Caenorhabditis elegans: one gene and its partners. The protein of the gene in region 2 purifies or fractionates together with the protein of the main gene of each other region. This does not show direct contact. Each region holds a gene or a part of one and is shown on either strand. Other genes may lie near its edges.

Region 1 (6,403 bases), on a different chromosome or scaffold from region 2:
TTTTGGAGGAAATTCAAATATGATCTTGAATTTTTCTATTTTCTAAACTATTTTGTTTTAAATAAGCAATTCAGGTAGCCCATGCAGTTCCATTGCTCTTCGCCGTCATGCGAGACCGAACTTTGAAAGATGAAAAGCAGCGAAAAGTTTTTGAAGTTTTGAAACAAGCTGAAAATCTCTTGGCCAATGATTTTTATGCTGGTGAGTTCAATTAATCGATACAATTTTTTGACCAAATTCAAACTATTCAGGATCTCAACCAGGTTATCCAGACTACTTATCATTTCCATTTTTTGAGAAAATTTGGTGGTCAGCTAGTTTGGATGGAGTTGTCGATTTACCAACAATTGAATTCCCAGGAGAAGAAGAATATCCTAAATTGACAAAATGGTTCCAGAAAATGATTTCTTCAGATGTTGTTCAATCCGTCACCCAATCTTTGGAACATGGCGCTGCATTCATGAACGCATATGCCACGCACCAGGAATTGAATTATGATTTGGGCCTTTGATATTAAAACCAGTCGATTTATTTTTAAGATTGAATAAAAAATGAAGGACGTAATTAAAAAACAATCAAAGAAATAGTGGTAATTCGTCGGAAAAAAAGTTATTGTACAGTCAGTAAAGTACCATAACGAACAGAAGAAAAATACTTGGCATCTAGAAGTTAATTAATTGATACAGTAAAATGAAAGTATAGCCAGAAATCGAGATACAAGTAGAGACAATGAGGAATGTTTAAATAAATTAAGATGGTTTTCGGGAGATTTAATGCAAAAAAAACAATAATTATAAATTAGGCATCAAGAGCGCCAGCCTCCTTGAACATTTCACAATGCATATCTCTTTTGAGTAGTGTGATTTTCATCGAGTTGATTCTTTCCTCGAGTGGCAGTTCCATGTCCTCGCTGACCATGACATTTCCGACATTACACATAAAGAGGCACGAAAGGAAGTATCGACTGATTTCGTACCATGGACGATCCATAACCAAATCTAGTAAACGTTTCGTGCCACCTTCAATATCGTATTGGCCAATGACAGCACGACCAACTGCGTGAACCTGAAAATTATTATAATTGAGAAATTCAAACATTTAGACATTTTGACTTTTCAAATTACTGTGGTTGACCAGAATATTAAAGGTGGAGTAGCGCCAGTGGGGAAATTGTTAAAAACCACTCCTTTGGTTCCAAAATGACCAAATATCATGATAAAACTTTTGAAAATTTTTTTATTTACTGTCAAAAACTGGCAATTACTCAGTTTTTGCCACTCATATGTTTGGAAGTCGACCAAAAAAATTTATTACATTTTTTATTGTTTTAATTTTGTTTAAATTAATTGTATTAAAACATTGTAGGGGTCGAAACATACGACATTTCTTTAAATAACCTCAAAAGCTCATATTTTTCAAAATTTTGGCAATTTGCCAAAACTTTGACCGGAAATTATGAAAAATCTAAAACTTTTTGGAGTGTTTTATTATGATATTCGGTTGTTTTGAATCACTATAAGTGTATTTAGACAAAATCCCCACTGGCACTACTCCACCTTTAAGATTAAATACTCTAAAACATACATCATACTCTTTTCGAGTTTCTCCTTCTTCGAGGATTGGTTCCATTCGAGAATGCCATTTGTCAACATGTTCTTGTAGAGTTGACACGGCAACATCCACATCTTCATATGCTTTAGCCATCTCGTAAGCCATTTGTTCGCGATCTGTTCGATTTTCAGCAAACTTCTTGAGCAATGGTAAAGCTTCTGTAAATAGAAAATTTACTTGATAGACTTGAGAGAGTACAATTTCAAAGTATTAATTTTAAAATTTTATTATAAAATTTTGCAAATAACTTACTGTCGATGAGCAAATTTCCAGGTAAATTGATAACACTGTTCAGTTCGGCATCATCAATATCCTCGAATCTTAATGGAACATATTCAGCAGGCGGAATATCAAAATCTGTTTGAAGAGCATCGAATTCTAGGTTGTTTGGAGCCATAGGAGGCCGTTCACCACGTGGCCGCACGTCTTCTTCGTCGTCATCGAACCCACCTCCAAACATTGAGAGCTCGACTTCGGCAGCAAGATCTTCATCGACTACGTCGTCATCTGGAAAAAATATAATTCAGTTTAAATTTCATAAAATTGAAATTTCTTACATTCAGCTCCGAGGGTTCTTCTATTAGACGTTGGAATATCCTCTGTTACCGGTTCAAATTGCTCCACGGGTATCACACGAGCTGTCCGTTTTCTCTGCATATTCTGGATACGAGCTTCTCGGATTTTTGCAGTCTTTTCCTTGATTCTTCGTTTCTTCTCGGCTAGAATAGCAGTACGAAGTGATTCTATCTTCCAGTCCTTAATCGGATTTATACGAGCCGCACTTCTCCAATAGTAGTAATCCTGCAGATAGTCGTGAGTTTCCATGAACTCGTCTCGTCGAGACTTATTGATCTTTTCCTCACGTCGTTGCTTCCTAGCCAACATTTCAGCGGGTTTTGGTTGGAATTTCGTGATCTTTTTTACCGGCTTGCTAACGACTGAAATATATCATTTACTATATATAAAGCGCTTATTCCGTTTGTCCATAGCTTGTAGTCTATGTAGTCTTTGTAGTCTGCGAAGTTTTAGCTTCTGGAGGGATAGTGAGTTGGGGTTAGTGTAGGGATATAGTCGGGGTACTGTAGTGGTACAATGGTGGTACGGTAGGAGTACTGTATGATTACGGTAGGAGTACTGTATGATTACGGTAGTTTCAGAAAAATTGGTTTTCAGCTCCAGAAGTCGGGGGCCGCGCCGGAGGTGCGGTCCACGGCTCATATATATATATAATCTAAAAAATACCGAAAGAATCCCATTAATTCAACAAATACCTGGCAGATTCTCGTCTCCCGTGTACCAAATAATATGATTTTTATCCAGCTCGTCCCATGGTGCCGGTGCTCGCTTCTCATCCCTTCTGGACAAATTTCGAATATAATCATCGTCGTCATCGTCTCCTCCACCACCAAAATCATCATCAAAGTCCATGGGCGCGTAATTCTCATCAGGTCTTCTACTAGTGTTTGGTTCATCGTTTTGCATAACAGATCCAAAGTTATCAACGAACATATCAACTAAGCCAGTGGTAAGATGAGTGCTCGGGCGATTCTTATTAACTCTTCCCTCCACAAATGACAAGAAATCATTCAAATGATTACTCTGTCGATGTCGTTCAACAAATGGTTGTGAGAGACGAGTTGGTTGAGATCCAAAGCCTTGAGAATCTCGAAGAGTTTTAGCTGCAATTGTGATGGCTCTCGATGTGGCACGAGATTGAATTTCTTGATTTTGACGAACTGCTTCTTGCTCTATGAACCAACGAGGAGGTGGAACAACTTCACGGCCAGAGAGAGGATCCTGAAGAAATCAAGTTTTGAAAATGTTTCATCGAATTATTACCACTTACCTTAAACGGTCCATATGCACTGATCTTCTCATGCTCTTGCTCCAAATCTAACTCAACTTCCAAATCAGCAACACCAAAATTAGCTGCCAATTCCTTATTATCTGGCATCCAACGAGCACCAGGTAGTGTGAATTGGTCTAAATTTCCACGATAACAATCATGGGAGTAGAGTATTTGTTGATCGTGTTTAACTTTCGACTTTTTAATTTCAAAATCTTTTACTTTTCCGATAACATCAGGACGAGATTTTGCATTCAAAATTTGTTCATCAGTACGATTGAGCTGGCCGTAATTGAGCTTGAACATGAACTGGGTTGGCTTTGCTACTAAACAGCTTTTTCGCTCATATTGAGACTCTATAACTTCAGCATTCTCGACCATTCTCACTGCATCAATCGATTTTTTCTCTTCTTTTACTGTCTTCTCAAAATTTGCTAGAGCTTCCTGTTTCAGTGAGTCGATATCAGCCAAGTCGTAATTCGTCGATCCCAAATTAAAATTTTTCCGTCTTCCAGCTCCTCGTCTACTGCCGGTGTTTCCATCATCTTGACCTTTGTTCTCGACTAAATCCACAACTGAAATCGTCAGTTCATAGACATGATCTACTTTTCGACCATATACGGCACACGATCCTTGAATAATCCGGCATGCTCGTTGAAAATCGAACAATCTGTAAGTTGTCGCTGCATCCACCTGATTATCTGTGTCTTCACTTTCTTGTCTGATAACCTCGAGGTATCCGGCGAGTGCCTGAAAGTCGAGCAATTATTTATTTTATTTACCGAAAAAGAAAAGATACAACCGTGAAAAAAAATTATCCTTACTTTCAACACGTCGATTGAGAAGTTCTCGACAAGATCTTTTGCGGGTGTGACGAGCCATGCTAAATCTGTCGATTCTTGACCTGGAGGAGCATTCCTAGTCATTTGTACCTGAAACAACAATTCCAATGCTCTGGCGATGATTAACTATAAAAAAGATATAGAATGGTACGAAAACCATAAGGAAGTTATAAAAAACCTGAATAGTATTTTAAAAACGAAGTATTTTATTTTGATTGAAAAGAAAACAGGAATCTAATCTATTCGAGAAAGAAATAACAATTTTAAGTATTTTAAAGTTTCTTTTGTTCTGGAAGTTTCAATCCAACAATAGCAGCAGCCTCTTCAACACTCTTCTCGCCACCCTTATATCTCTCTTGAAGTTCATTAAGCTGTCGGGTTCTAAAATGAATGGATATTGATTATTACTTTCTTATTCTCATAAAACAAACGAACCCTTTAATATAGCTCAAATAGAGTTTTGCAACGCTCTCTGACTCGTTCTCGGCTTTTGAATATCTTCTTGTTGTAACCTGGTCGGCTTTCATTTGCTCCATGAGGTATTTATATTGTGCCGAATTCGGGGAGAATGTTTTGTCGACCTTTTTCAGTTCCGAAATGATGTTTTTGATGGTGTTGAAAGCGGTCACTCCTTTTCCAACAGCAGAGGCCATACTTTAATTTTGAAAATGTACAAAAAAGGGATAATAAATAGCACAATAACACAATTCAGACAAAAAAAGAAAACAGGAAAACGTTCTCAATTCAAACTGCGCGCGTGAGGCGCGCGTTGTTTAGCGAAACGCGGAGCATCGTTGCGGTACCATTTGCGCGGAAGTTTGAATCTAGTTTTTTGTGGCAATTGATTTTGACATTTTCCAATAATGTGGTAAATTATAAAATGGTACATTTATTTTAATAGAAACATGCCCAAGCAATATTAAATACTTTTTGAATGTAATTAATCAGCCTCAGTGAAAATAATCTGTTGAAATATTATCCCATTCGGAGATGCCAAAATTTCCAGTGCCAATCACGAATAAAGTGTCATTATTTGTCTGAAAACATTATATTTGAAATTCAATTGATTATTTTAATAACCTTATTTAATTGTTCTTCTGGAATTTCCACTGAAGTCATCACATGATGATTTCCGAATTTTATGAAGAGATGCGAGTCCAGTAAATGAATTGAGAATTTATAAAACTTTCCAAATTCTACTTTTCTTCGTGCTTTGAATTCAGCAATTATTGAACGGTCAACGAAATCGGAAAATATAGTTACTTTTTTATTTGAAAATTCAATCTCAACAAATATTCCACGACAGTTTATTACTTCTATGTCACATCCTGAAAATGTAATAGATTTTAATATGAATCACAACACTAATTACATACCACTACAATTACTCCTTATACCTAGAATGATGGATTTAGCTGTTGAGTGTTTTGGAATATTGACCTCGGCGTTTAGAATACTATTCTTCTTTCGATACCTAAATGGAAGGAATACCGTATACCGTATTTCCTCTATTAGTTTTGCACCCCTTTGCTCAACTTTGACACCTCATATCTCCTTTTTGGACATATAAATAATTAACAAACTACAAACTACAGAAAAAACATCTATCTAAATTTTTATCAGTTGACAACTTTTCTATAGAACAAACTACTACTGAGATATGAGCTGCCAAAGTTGAGAAAAGAGGTGTAAAAATATTAGAGGGAATACGGTATACTGTAGTTCCTCATAGGTCAAAGTCATCAATTCTTACGCCATAACTGCATATGGAGTTCGAATGTGTGAGGTGCACCAACTAATTGATGGGCGTGTCACTTTCTGTACCGCCCGTCCATTTCGTACCACCCATGATCCTTTTTGTGGCATCCAAAACTTTGGCTCCTCGTCGAATTCATAATTTTCAAAGTCGTCGTGATAATTCAAAGGAACCAATGGTGTTTTTATAGTAACTCTTTTCGGAGTTGAAACTGGAAGTGTAGTGAGTATTCCAAATGAATTAACAGGAAGAAGAATGGTAATTGTAGAATTGACAGATTTTGAAAAGAACTTTGAAGGTCCAAAGTTTAATGACATATTTAATCCTTGAAATGATGGAATTTCAGAG
Region 2 (5,831 bases):
CGTCTTTTTTTTGCGTTTCGCCCTGTTTCTGATTTTGTTTCTTCTATCTCCAATTTCTTTCACCTTCTCGTTAAAACATAAAAAGGGGTAGACGAGACAAGAGCGTGGGGGTATATTTTTGTACACATGCTCTACTACATACATACCGATGGCGTGGGTTTTTGCGGGGTGGCATTATTTTACAAATCATTATTGGACTATGTTCAGCTTTAGGTTTGAAACGTGTTTTTCAACTGCCAAGCCTCCTCTACGCGCGCATATCTAAACCGTTTTATGTCTCTGTTTCTTTTTTTTTTCGGCTGTCACATCACAAGAATGGAATTTTTTATTTTATTGTCCGCTGAAGGGACGGTTCTATCTATCCACAGAAAAATGAAAATGTGGTATTGAATTCGAGAATAGGAAAATATTGAAATACATCTCTCCATCCATTACTTTTTTTCGTGTGAATGATTCTATAGTTATGGTTCAATAAAGTTTGTTCTCAGTCAGGTACAATCCCCTTATTGTTTGTTGGTGAAAAAAACATTGAAAAACCAAATATTTATGCAGAAAAAGGTCAGAAAAAGTCAGAAACAAGGAAAGAAAAGTAAAAAAAAATTTCCTAAAACATGATATCGGGAAACCGTAAAATTTTCTCAAAATTGATGGCTCGTTCAAAGGAATTTTCGATGACGGAACAGGGATACAAAGTAGTAACTCTCACAACACAAAAAAATCTACAAAATATGTACAAAAACTATACAAAAGCTAAAGTTTTTTCCGCTTGTCACTTTCGCGCAGGCAGTCCTGCAAAAAATTGATAATGACTCCATAAGAAGCGCTGTCCCGGGTGGGCTTGCACAGATTCAGATGGACATCCGCAATATGATACACGGCTCCTTGCTCAAATACTGCCGATTTGTTGGGAACGACGATGCTCTTGGCGTTGGCTGGAATTCATTATGCAATTGGAAAATGATCAGTTTTTGGAAAATTTGTTTTATCAGCGTAAATATTTATTTTTTGGCAAGTGGTCTTTGGCAACAAAAACAAAGTTTTGTTTAAGATTTTAGTTTTGTTTTGTCATTCATTTCTCAAAAGTTATTTTTTAATTTCTTAAATGTAACAGAAAAAATGAAGGAACTAGAGCAAAAATTGTTGCAAATGAAACTCCTCGCAGGGAATCCTAGGCAAATGTTGCGCTCAAAATTGTTTATCTCCTCCTGAACAAAATGCTTTTGTAGCGAAAGTTTTGTCATGATAAAAAATTCAGAAAGGCCTAAATGGATTTTCAGTATACCTATACGATTTTTCATAACTGTTTTTGACACTGCCGTTTTAATAAAATCTGGAATGTGTTCTGTTTTTAGAAACAGAAGCTGCTAACTAACCAGGAACAATTATTTTAAAGTTCTTCACTTTATAATTTGCGAGGGGTTTTGAAATTTAAAATTGATTAACGTATGCAACAGACTCTCAAAAATCAAAATTATTACTGAGCATTTGAAACACTCTTTTAAATCGTTTTCAAAAAACTCACCAATAATATTCGACTCCACGGTCTCCACCATACTAACAATAACCGGAATCTCCTTGCTCACTGCCGAAAAATCTTCGTTCAGCTGAAAATGAATTTTACGACTTAATTTCAGAAAATAATGAATATTTAAAAGCTCACTTTTCTATTAATCGCATTATTCTCATTGAGCATCCGTACGTCTTCAGTTGGTTGAAACACTGAATATCCCCAGTTTGCGACAGGACTTCCCTTGTGTGGTGTCGCAATGAACAACACTCCAACAGTGTTTTTAAGAAGATTGGTTGAGTCGATAAGCAGCTTTTTGGCGAGAAGACCTCCCATAGAGTGGCAAATAAAAAGGACAGGCCGTTTTCCTATTCCAGCTATTTCCAGTTGCTCCTTGAACCTTTCGGATCGGGTCTAGAATTTAAAAATTGGCTTCCAATACGGAACAAAATTACAAGAGTAAGATGGGAATGTTTTATTGCATAAGAAATCCCACAAAGTTTTTGAATACTTTTTTTTTATTTTTAAAAATAACCAAGACATTTTTTAAATGATTCTGCTTCTTACCTGTAAGCTCTGTTGCGTTCCGGTAAAATGGAAGATGTATGAAGGATATTCTAGTCCAATTATCCGGAAAGGCTTTTTGATATCCAACGGAAGCCAATCTTTGGGCCAACAAGACGAGAGGAGGTTTTCATCGGAATCTTTCTGCCTCCAGGTGTAGGCCACACTGCCACGCAGTCCGTGAATTAGAACTATATCTATCTGAAATTTGAAATTTTAATCGTTCATGCCAGTTGTTAAAGTTGTTCATAATTAAATTTTTCATGTGCACAAAAAAGTGAGTTGCCTACACGCTGATCAAACATAACAAAGCTAAGTTCAACTTCTGCTCCGCAAACACCTCTAGCACTTTGTATCCTCACGTGACACTTGTCTGCAGGCAGCAGGTAGTGTAAAACCTCAGTTTTTGATAGATGAAAATTCTTCTGACAGATATTTGGAACGGAAGCAAAAGTTACCTCGGGTTCTTCATCCGGTAAATACATCTCGTAAACATCTGATGATAGCCGATAATTGATGGATCTCAATGAGCTCAGCGCATTTTGACATACCTAAAAAACATTTCGTCTTGAACGTGATTTCTTTGTCATTTTAGTTCTCACAAAAAACCCCATTATCAATCAAAAAACACTCACTTTATGCGATAACAGTCGTTCCATCAAACTTTTTCCATTGGTGACCATCGTACTTATCAGTGGTAGCCATTCGGAGTCGAGCATTGATTTTGCGTACTTTTCATCCTCTCCAACAATGTTGGCTAGAATTTTGATGGCGAGCACGGCGATATCCACGTTTGAATGGTAGAACTCTGCGTAGACATTGAAAAGGAACGGGACAACGTCGACGTCGATTGCAGAGACATCAAATGTTTTCTGAAAAGTTTGGCTATATTTATAAATTTCTTTTTTGTCGCACAAAAACCTAAATGTTTAATTTTGTTAATGATTTGTTTAATTTTGCAAATTATTCCCCAAACTTTTCCAGCGATTGGCCAGGAGAACGTTTATTTTTTTGCTAATTTTTTTGACTGCAGAAAGTGTTTCTAGCAGGTTTTCGAGCAGGTTTTTCTCGAAAACAACATCAAGAATAGTTTAAGACAAACCTCTGTAGTTAAATACAGCAACTGTAACATTCTCCGTAGCCTCTCAATTTGACTTGGAAGCCGCACGAGCCACTCATCGGAGCAAGACAAATCTTCTTCCGGACAGGCAACTCGATTTATCCATTCTATGCTGCTATTCCATTTGTCGCCGAGGTTAAACTAAATTGTAAATTGTATTTTTAGATATAACACAAAAGTTACTTTTCTTAATGCTTCTGTGACATCCAACTTTTGATCTAGGCAAGACTTTATTGGAATTTTCATACAAAGCTCTGAGCCAGATCTTGCCAATAAAGCTACTGCCGCTGGATTTAACGACTTGAGGAATTCCTTGCCTGCAATGAAAATCGATAATTAGGGCAATGGGCAGATGGTCCTTACTCTCTGTGTGTTGAATGAACCGCAGAGCCTCCGATGTGTTTGTATTGACATTTAGTAGTTTGACAGCGTCATCTACAGAAAGAATTATCTTTTTGTCATTTTGATCTGGCCAATATGATTTATACACTCCATATATTGCTCTGAAAAAAGCAAGAAATGTTTTAGACTTCCTTCAAAAATGCCAAAAAAACGTACGATATGGTCACAGAAGGAATGATGTAGCGGGCCATTTGGAAGTCATTTGAAATTGAATCTGGCGCTGACTTTGAAGATTAATTCCTGCAAGTTTTGGTATCAACGGATGCGGTCAAAGAAACGCGGACAGAGTGAAACTGAATGCGGGAGAAAACAAAAGATAAGCGGGAGTATAGAGTGCAACCCCATGTCACGCCACCTCGTGGAGGGAGTGCGCGTGCGGTCGTTGTCTAGAGATTTCTAGGCCATGTGAACGCGGCCATCACGAGTTGATGTGTTGTTTGGGTGTTTTCCGGCATAGAACGTGATAAAACAATCATTTTTTCAGAAAAAAAAATTGAAGAAAAAAAATAAATAATTAAAATTGATGATCAGAAAATGTTTTTTAGATTGATTATTCACTCAATTGACCTATGGAAATTGTGAAGTTAAGAAAAAAGATTTATCATTTTTGCTTAAAAATTGCAAAAAAAAAACAATTACTTGAATTTTGGCCACCAATCGACTAAAAATATATCAACTTAAACATAGAGTAGGACCAGTGGGGAAAGAATTAAAAACCATTCTTATGATGCCAAAATGACCAAATATCATAGTGAAACTTTTTACAAATTTTGAAAATTTATTTATTGACAGTCCAAAAGTGGCAATTATTGAGTTTTTGCCATTTTTTTTTGAAAGTCCTCAATTGAGACAAATGTGTACTTTTAAATGTTAATTGAAATTGTAATCCCCACTCTTTAACAGTCAATAAAAACAGTTCAAAAAGTGATTGAAAAGTTCGACTATTTCATGTGTTCTTTTTAGCACAATAGAAGTGGGTTTTAACAGTTTCCCAACTGTCGCTTCTCTTTTGTATGCATTTCTAAAAATTTCAGAATGGAATATACTTTTTAATCAAACCTGGAGTTTTTGTACATTCAAAACTATCGTGTTAATTTAGCTTTTCTGAATAGAAAACACAATTTTTAACTTGAATAGATTTTTTCTTCGATATTGTTTAGATTCACTGAGCAAAATATAAGGGTTTCATTGATCACAGTATATTTTTCTATTTAAGTTGGTTCTAATTTCAAAGTTTTCATTCCACCTTGCATTTTGGATTGGCATACGATACCGATGAGGTTTTCCTTCTTATTCATTTTACTGACTTTTTTTAAAACCACTGATTTACAAGTTGTGTAAGTACAAAATATTCAGTGTGGTTGTATTGACACGTGTAGAAGTTCTGCCAAAATTTGTTGCACTTGTAGAACTCAAGAGACTGACGACACCAATTATCGTTTGCCTAGAAATGTTTTCCCAACTGAGTACCGCTTGCATATTACAACTTTTTTGCCAGGATACAAGTGGGAAGCCGACGAAAAAAGTTTCACTTTTATAGGAGATGTGAAAATTCAAATTGAAGTTAAAGAAGAAACTGACACAATTGTTCTGCATACAGATTCTTTGAATATTAATAATGTTCTTTTGCACAATGCATGTGTATGTGCAAATTTGAAAAATCTGATTCAATATTTTAGGCTGGCGATAACGTCACTATTAGCCATTTGAACACAACATACGACTTGCAATTTGTGACTTTTTATTTAACAGGAAATTTGAAAACAGACAGCAGACCAATTCTAAGTATTCATTATATGGAAAAATTGGAAAAATTCGTGAGGATGGTGAAGGGTATTATAGAACAATATCGCCAGGATTAAATGAAACTACGATGTAAGACAGTATATTCACAGTCCTTCAAAATAAAAGTTCAGGTACAACGCTGTGACACAGTTTGAACCAACAGCGGCTCGTTTCATGGTTCCGTGTTTCGATGAGCCGGAGTTCAAGGCGATTTGGCATGTCACTGTGGTCCATCCAACCGGTTCAACTGCTTTGTCAAATGCTAAGGAAATAGATAATACAAAAACTAACGATGACTTTTCCACCACAGAATTTGAGTCAACATTGAAAATGTCGTCCTATATTTTGGCAATTTTTGTCGGTGACGTTCAATTCAAAGAAGCGGTAACCAAGAATGGTGTTAGGGTAATATGCCTTTTAAGCTTTTCTTTACTATGTATTAGTTGTTCTCAG
Region 3 (4,627 bases), on a different chromosome or scaffold from region 2:
ATGACACATGGAGGTCTTGGTAGCACAACTGAACTTGCGTATCTTGGTAAACCAGCATTAATGGTACCAGTATTTGCCGATCAAAACAGAAATTCTTTGATGTTGGCAAGACATGGAGGAGTTCTTGTAGTCGAAACGATCTTTGGAAAAGGGAACTTGTGAAAAATTCCATTTATTCAATTTTGAACGACGATCATTTTAAGAAGAACTCTAAAAAACTGGCAGAAATGTTGAGAAACCAACCAACAAATCCCAAGGAGACCGTAGTCAAATACACTGAATTTGTTGCAAAATTTGGTCCGTTCCCGGAAATGGATCCATATGGGAGGACACTTGGATTCATTCAAAGAAATCTTTTAGATGTATACCTTGTTATTATCTTTCCGTATATTTTTGGAATTCTGTCCATTTATCTTGTCGCATGTTTTTGTTTGAGAAGATGTGAAAAGTCAGGTAAAAACGATTGAACATTTTTCTTCTAAAAGAGATTCGAATAAATATGTATGTTCCTTTAATCTTATTTGGTTCTCACTTTACACTGAAAATTAGTACAAATTTTCATCAGAGTTTCAGTCACGATAAATTTCAATCAATAAAAAATGACACCACTCAAATAGAATAGGGAATAATTATTACTAATCACACACGTTGTTTGAGGCAGATACTAAATTGAAGAACAATAATTTGTGCAGAGCGATTGGAGTTCATATCATTCCCGTATCTTTGAGATTATCTTGAATAACTGTATCTATCACTGTATTGATGATTATTTGAACTTGATCCGATATTGCACATGTTTCATGGGTGTACCTGTAAAATTACGTTTTTGAAATTTACATTTTATTTTCTAGTACTGTTAGTGTTCCATACTGGCACAAAAAAGTCAAAAATATCCAAGAAGTCGAATACGTTCAGAATTCTTTTAGTTTGTAAGTTCATAGTTAGATTTTCAAAAGTGCAGTAGACACAAAACTGTAGTCTCAAAAACTCACATTCTTTTTTTGAAGTCCGGGTGAATCCCTTCTCTAAATTGTCTCCGAAAGAACTTTGTACCTTCTGAAACTGTGTTTGCTCCTGAAACATGAAACTATGAATTCAAAAACTTGGAAAACAAACCTTCAAATTTTGGAAAGTAATCCTTAATCTTCACATGTTTTACTTTCTCCTCGAACAAATCAATTTTGTTCAGGAAAAGTATGACTGCCGCTTTTTTGAAAAACTTTCCATTAAAAACTGTCCAGAACAATCTGATGGATTCATGCATACGGTTCTAAAATTTAATTTTTCGTTTCAATTTTGTGGCTGTTTGGAAAAATTACCGTCTCTTCATCCTCCGCTAACTTCTGATCAAACTCGCTAATAGCCGCTACAAAAAGAACAGCGTCAGCCTCATCGAAAAAGTGATACCACTGAAATTAAATTCTCAATTAGGAAACAAAGAAATAGTTAAATTTCCAACTTTTCGTCTTTCAGATCGTTGTCCACCACAATCGCAAATCATCAATTTGATATTGTTCATAATAACTTCGACTTGTGCAACTCCCGTTGTAGGTACCCGTATGTGAACAATATCCTGATTTGTCGGTTCAAAGCCTGGCAATTTTATACGGTCGATGTTGTCGAAGAAACTGAAAATGAATTATTAAGTTCAAATAACACAATTTTGAGATAATTTAATGTAGTTATTCAATTGATTTTTTATTGCAAAATTTGCCTGCTAGAACAAGAACATAAACAAGTTAACATCATAGACTTCAGCGATCACTATCACAATTTTTTTTTTCTAGACCTGTTAATTACATGTTCCGTTAGACCAAATGACAGATACACGAACAATGTCTGTAGTTTGGTTTTATTTGTGAACGAACAAACATATACATAACTCGAAACATTTAAATAATAACTGTGTGACATAAAAGAATATTTTAAGAAACATTTCAGACATTTTTGAAACGTGTTTTTGAATCAATTGAAACATTTTTCTATAATTCTAACTATGAATGCGCTACAAGTTTCCAAAAAAAAAACTCACTACTTGGCACTATCTGTCAAATGAAATGTGTCTCTCTTGGAATACGCGTCCTGTATTGCACTGTTTCCCCAGAATTCCTTCAGTGTATCGGCGAGTTCAGGTCTCATTATTCCATCATGAATTACCGCCATTTTCAGTTCTTCGCACATCACAGTATATCGCTAAAAGTTTTTAATTTGAAACCTAATAAAACCCGAGAGGTCGCAAAACTCACTTTATCATCGTCTTCCGTCATCTCCAAAATATATTCTCTGACGTATTCTAACAACATCTCAGAAAATTGACATAAATTCTGTATAATTAGCACTTTTCGTTCGTGTAGTTCTGTCTTTGTGTAGTTTCCAGTCATGGCTCTGAAAATAGAATGTTTGGCTACCCATATAACAGGAAATATAATAGTTATTAATTAATTTTCAAACTGTAAACAGAAAGAAACAGACACAACTCCCAAGGTATAATCAGAAACCTATTTATTTTCCCGTTGTTAATTCAAAATATTAGGTCATGTACAAGAATTATTAAAAAATCAAATATACCTCATCTGTTTCATGACAGTACTTTTTCCACTTTCACCAGGCCCCAGTAGAAGAACGGTTTGCTCCAATTGCATGTTTTTCTTCTTTTCGAGCTGTTTTTCTATTTCTCTGAAATATTAACGACAATTATGAAACATGTAACTCAAAAACTGACTTGTTAACTTTGATCTGATCCTTCATCTCGTCAGTGAGTACAAATGACTGACAGACCCCCATGTTTCCCTGAACATATATTGAAATTTTTGAAAGAACAAAAATAATTCAAAGATTATGACGATTATGATAGAGAACGCAAACTTTAATTATAGGATGCCAGCGAGATTCAACTTAGACAACGAGACAAATGAAATGACTAATCAGAAAAAAAAAAACAAAACATGTTGTCATGCCAAAAAAAAAGTTTCAGAAAGCTTGTCGAGACAAACTGAACAGACTTTTCGGCAACGAAAATGTAGATTTCACACCGGAAATAAAGTCAATTTCCACTGTATTGCTCAGAGAGAATGTACAAGTTTCGTCAAAAAAAGTTACTATTTTCATGAGAATTTTCAAATCCATCAATGCAAGAGAACATTCCTTCAAAAAAAATTATTTGAAACCCGTATTTCAAAGCCGCGCGACAAACTGAATATGTACCAAAAAAAAAAAATAAATAGATACGTAACTCGGGATGAAACCAAACTCGTTGACTAATTTTCAAAAGTCATCAACACTAGAAACGACAATATAATTTCGAAAGAACTTGTTAGACTTAAAGAGAGATAGGTAAATCCTAAATTTCAAGACCTTGTGTGACGCCATAATTTTCCATGAAAAAGCAACATGGTAGCACGTGAAGAACATAGTTACTTTAGATTTGTAGATTTGTACTTTAGATTGGGATGTTTTTTTCTTTAACACAAATTGTTTTTTGTCTCAATGTTAAAGATGAACCAGTTTTTCAAGAACGTTCAAAATGACATTTGGAAACTTTCTCTAAAACCACAGATTTTGGTTCACCGAAAAACATCTGAACACTTTTTCACTACCCGTCAAAGTCAAGAAATATTTAAATGAAATGGCGATAAATTACATTTTTGTTTGAAACCAGTTGTAATCGTTATGTTCGCAAAATTTTTCCGAAAAGCGCATGAGCTCAACACAAATTTAAAATCACATAGGCTTAAAAGTCGTGACAACACAAAAATGTAAAAAAAAAGTTGTGGAGAACACGAGAGAAGAAAAGGGAAAAAAGCAAAGTTATGATTAAATGAAATGAGAAGGAAGGTAGTGATGATTAGCGGCGGTCCTCTCCCCCCGGTTTCCTTGACTACCGCAGATTCCCAATTAAGCCTCTCTGTAACAAAGAAACTAAAAGGTGAATAACAAAACAAAAACACGAGAACAACTTCTGACTTGCATGTTGAATGAAATACACTCAAAAATCGCGAGACTACTTGAGCGTGGGAATGATCAAAAAGAAGGAAAAAAGATAATGTGATTGTTGGTTGTGTATTTGGGTTAGAGGGAGATATATTTATATTATCAATCAAAAAAAAACAGAATACCCGATGCTCTATAGGGAAACATTTATGTTGCTATGGTTTTATGATAGCTGGTCAGAAAAATAGATAGATTAGAAAAGCGTTTTGAAAAAGAGAGAACTACGCCAATTGAGTAAAGTTTTTTAAACGACACGCAAACGGAAATCGTTAGCTTTGTTGTGAGTTAAACCGGAAACAAGTTTATCTGGTCTTGATATCAATAATAACACTGGGACCAAATCTCAAACTTCACTAGCTAAAATAATAAAAAGTAAATGAGTTAAATGTCTTTGTGAGTCTGAAAACGAATAAAAGCGGAAAGATTATTGCAAAAAAATTATGTTCGAACTTTCTGATATTGAATTATTCTTGCCGAATCATGCACCACAAGATGCCAAGATTAAAATAAAATCAAGCCAAATTCGGAGTTCGTTCATTTTGTATGAAATATTGGAAAGACCGGAATTAAACATTGATAAGAATGATTTTTGAAGTTACATTTACGAACCTCAAAATAATTTTTAAACGATTTCAGA
Region 4 (3,328 bases), on a different chromosome or scaffold from region 2:
GAACGGCCAGAGTCACTAATTTTGGTGAACGGCCAGAGTCACTAATTTTGGTGAACGGCCAGAGTCTTAATTTTTAAAGTAATGCAAACGTAGTAAATCTCCCAATAAAAAAATGCGGTCATATTGCATGAAATTTAGTTTTTTTGATCAAACTGAAAGCTTCTGGCACCTGGAAATTTTTGTAATTAAATTCTGAAAGCGCTTAAAATTTGTCCCTTCTAGGACTTTTTACATAAAAAGCAGGATGGTTCTAGAATTTTCTAGAAACTCTGGAAAAGTTTTAGAATTTTCTTGAAATTCCGCAAAACTCCAGGAAAAGTGTTGACTGTACAAAAATCTTACATTAGCAGTTTAAAATTTATTAAAACAATTTACCGTACGCCAGTCGGAGCACGTGCAAACGGCTGGTTTTTTATAATATGCTTCTACATTAAATTTTTCATTTAAAACAGTGGGATATCATATACAAATCGATAGCTTTGTATATTTGCTGGAGTCCGAAAATCTAAAGATTTCAGACGAATTGTTTGGAAAAGGTTATATTAGTTATATTAATTCATTAATAAAAAAGTTTATATAGATAAACATGCACGGCCGAAAATAATTAATTGCAGCAAGTGGCAAAATATGTTCCCTCCACACAGGTTGCTCCAGCTGGACAGAACTTTGATTTGCAACTCTTCCCAACAATCGTTGTAGGGATTCCACCCTCGACAATTTTTGCAACTTTCTTTCCTTTTGGACATTTTGGCTCATAATCAGCTTCAATCAACTTTTCAATCTTCTTGTCACAGCAAATATTAATATGATTAGAGTACCTACAGATACCTTTTGGCCCACATTCTTCCTGGAATTTTTACAGATTTTTTCAAAAACATGGAGCAACTTACATCGGTTTGGCAGTTTTTATCGTTTATTGGCTTACTTCCAGCGGCACATCCCGATTGATCATCTAAATACTTTGGTTTAAAGTAAAAAATTCAAATGAAAAAACATACATCCAGTACATGTAAATCGACATTCACTCTCAGTTTTGAAATTATTCTTGTTTCCTCCACATCCACTGTACTCAAAAGCCAATGGGATATTGGATTTTTGGTCAAAGTGGTACTGTAAATTATTAAGACTTTATACTTTATGAATTTTATGAAATAAAAATATTGAGAAATATGTTTAGTTTCTGAAAATAATTTTGCTTTTGTTGAAAGTTTTGAAAAGTTGAAATTTTGAAAAGACTTACAGTCTCAGTGTTATTTCGGCACGTTGACTTTTGAGTCAGTTTTTGAGCAAATTCTCGGAATTTTCAATTAAACGTATAGCTATTTTCAGAAAGTACCAATGTTTTTCTATATTTTTTTCCAATTTCCAAAAATTCCAAAGTTTCCAAAAAAAAGCGACATGAAAGCTTTGAAAAATCAAAACTCACTCTTATCTCCTTCTTTCCATTTTTACATGGTGTTTTTCCCATGTCCAATGGAAGTTTGCACTCCGGTTGAAGTGTCGAGACTAACTCACTGACACACAGAATAGTAGCCAAAAAGGTAAGAAGAAGATTCATTTTGCAAAATTGACAGAATAATTGAAATGATCACCGTTTTATACTACTGGAGAAATGGATAAACACGTTGAGAGATAAAGAAATCGAATGACTATACTCAACACTTCCTGGTTTAGATAAGAAGAAGGTCAAACTGGATAATGTTTGGTTGAAGTTCTAGTATAGATTCGTTTAGAAAAATCCGTAAATCTCTTTCAATTGTCGAATGCTAGCTGACAAAACACCCAGAAATCTTCCAATCTGAAATTCTACCTAAAAGTCCAATAAAACAATTATTAATATGGTTGTGTGGCCAAACCATCTAAAAAACTGTTCAGCAAATTTTATAAACGCTCTTGGTATCACCGTGAATGATTCTTTGAATCACTTCCTGGTCACAGAGATTACCAATACGGAGATCATAAATGCCATTTGAAAAAAAGAAATTTTAAAATAGGCTACTACAAAAAATTGACAAGTATTGTGATCAGGATAAAATTCTATCTGATTATTTTTCCAGTGCAAATTGCTTCAAATCAACGATGCTCGAGCTCGACAAATTTCGAAATTTGCAGCACACCAAAAATTTGACAAAACAATTTTGCCCAAAACTATTGAATTTGTCCCCTAAAATTTAGTAAAATTCCACAAAATGGAGTTAATTTGATGTTTAAGCTGACACAGCTCACGAAACTTATTCAGAAATCAGATGTGTGATATCTTTGGTGCTCCAAAATACATCTAAAATATAACATTTTTCCGGAGTCTGTTGAAAACGGCAAATTTGCCGAGTTTGCCGAGCGCGGCAAATTTTGAGATTTGCCGCACATCCCTGCTCCAAATGTGGAAGCCTTTAAAAGTGATCATATTTTTTTCAGAAAGAAAAGTTTCTTGAAAACTCCTATAGTTGTTCACATGTTTTACAAAACATCTGAAAGTCAAGATTATATATGAAAAACTACTCTAACGCAATTTTTCTTTCTGCCACCTATTCACTTTTTCCAAAAAGTTGGGAAATCTCTTGGACATAATTTTCTAATTTCTTAACCCAACTCAAAAGCCTTATTTGAGAATAGACCTCGAGTAACCTAAATTCTCCGGTCCACGTGCTTGTTTATTCCGTTCATGCGAAGTTTGTTCCTAAAATTTTTTTAATATATCCTCTGTAATCCCCCAGCTAAACTCACAAATTTCCGATTCCTTATTTGCTTTTCATGTCACTTCGACGTCTACTTTTTTCGTTGCAGTTGCTTTTCTCTGAAATTCTCCGCAAAAAATAACAAAATTTTGTTACTTGTTACTTTGTTCGCCGTTGATTGAATATGTGCTATGGCAACTCTTTCTGAGTTGTTGGGTTCAAGTTTTGGTAATTGTATGTTTTCAAAAAAAAACTGAAAAGTAAGGTTTTGATTTAGAACGTCAGAATAGAAAACCAAAACCCAAAAAATAAAATAGAAAACAAAAAAAAACGAATCATTATAGTCAAGTCTCTATTGCGAAAAGCAGCTACTATTAGCCTATGGGGTCAATTTGATTATCTGCCTTTGCCTAGTCGGTGTTTTCCCAGCGCAGAATCCACTTTGCTCTGCCTGTGCTCCAAAAGAGTGCTCATTTTCAAAAGACACACATACACTCTTCTCATTTTCTCGTTTTTTTGCTTCTTGTTTCTCATCGTCCGGTTCTTTTTTTTTCCACTTATCATCTACACTTCCTTGATACCATGGCTTATTTAGTGAAGATGGCTTATTTAGTGAAGAATTCATGACATACTGAACGAAAATGTTGCAATGT

What was found.
Region 1: the proteins of F17H10.1 (region 2) and kle-2 fractionate together in Caenorhabditis elegans (co-fractionation; one large-scale study listed by BioGRID). This does not show direct contact.
Region 3: the proteins of F17H10.1 (region 2) and gpa-10 fractionate together in Caenorhabditis elegans (co-fractionation; one large-scale study listed by BioGRID). This does not show direct contact.
Region 4: the proteins of F17H10.1 (region 2) and Y49G5A.1 fractionate together in Caenorhabditis elegans (co-fractionation; one large-scale study listed by BioGRID). This does not show direct contact.

What each region holds. Positions count from the first base shown.
Region 1 is NC_003281.10:7,939,703-7,946,105, reverse strand, and holds kle-2 (Condensin-2 complex subunit kle-2), read right to left. Parts: upstream 4,390-6,403; 5' UTR 4,384-4,389; coding exon 4,282-4,383; intron 4,208-4,281; coding exon 3,458-4,207; intron 3,409-3,457; coding exon 2,883-3,408; intron 2,550-2,882; coding exon 2,169-2,549; intron 2,119-2,168; coding exon 1,864-2,118; intron 1,770-1,863; coding exon 1,585-1,769; intron 1,066-1,584; coding exon 799-1,065; 3' UTR 513-798; downstream 1-512. Other genes in the region: gsto-1 (Glutathione transferase omega-1), read left to right, coding at 75-201, 252-511; C29E4.12 (Protein FMC1 homolog), read right to left, coding at 4,572-4,680, 4,735-4,952; C29E4.10 (Putative galactocerebrosidase), read right to left, coding at 5,250-5,336, 5,380-5,627, 5,676-5,773, 6,053-6,403. UniProt on the Caenorhabditis elegans protein: Regulatory subunit of the condensin II complex, a complex that seems to play a role in prophase chromosome condensation and in chromosome segregation in mitosis and in meiosis.
Region 2 is NC_003284.9:13,103,243-13,109,073, reverse strand, and holds F17H10.1 (GPI inositol-deacylase), read right to left. Parts: upstream 3,834-5,831; 5' UTR 3,785-3,833; coding exon 3,750-3,784; intron 3,695-3,749; coding exon 3,555-3,694; intron 3,509-3,554; coding exon 3,375-3,508; intron 3,333-3,374; coding exon 3,174-3,332; intron 2,944-3,173; coding exon 2,707-2,943; intron 2,623-2,706; coding exon 2,530-2,622; intron 2,273-2,529; coding exon 2,075-2,272; intron 1,922-2,074; coding exon 1,661-1,921; intron 1,605-1,660; coding exon 1,523-1,604; intron 933-1,522; coding exon 751-932; 3' UTR 531-750; downstream 1-530.
Region 3 is NC_003283.11:6,852,020-6,856,646, forward strand, and holds gpa-10 (Guanine nucleotide-binding protein alpha-10 subunit), read right to left. Parts: upstream 2,793-4,627; 5' UTR 2,785-2,792; coding exon 2,723-2,784; intron 2,677-2,722; coding exon 2,569-2,676; intron 2,386-2,568; coding exon 2,247-2,385; intron 2,194-2,246; coding exon 2,033-2,193; intron 1,629-2,032; coding exon 1,460-1,628; intron 1,410-1,459; coding exon 1,320-1,409; intron 1,271-1,319; coding exon 1,117-1,270; intron 1,075-1,116; coding exon 993-1,074; intron 811-992; coding exon 705-810; 3' UTR 502-704; downstream 1-501.
Region 4 is NC_003283.11:5,285,803-5,289,130, forward strand, and holds Y49G5A.1 (BPTI/Kunitz inhibitor domain-containing protein), read right to left. Parts: upstream 1,572-3,328; 5' UTR 1,559-1,571; coding exon 1,427-1,558; intron 1,111-1,426; coding exon 999-1,110; intron 953-998; coding exon 891-952; intron 848-890; coding exon 605-847; 3' UTR 541-604; downstream 1-540.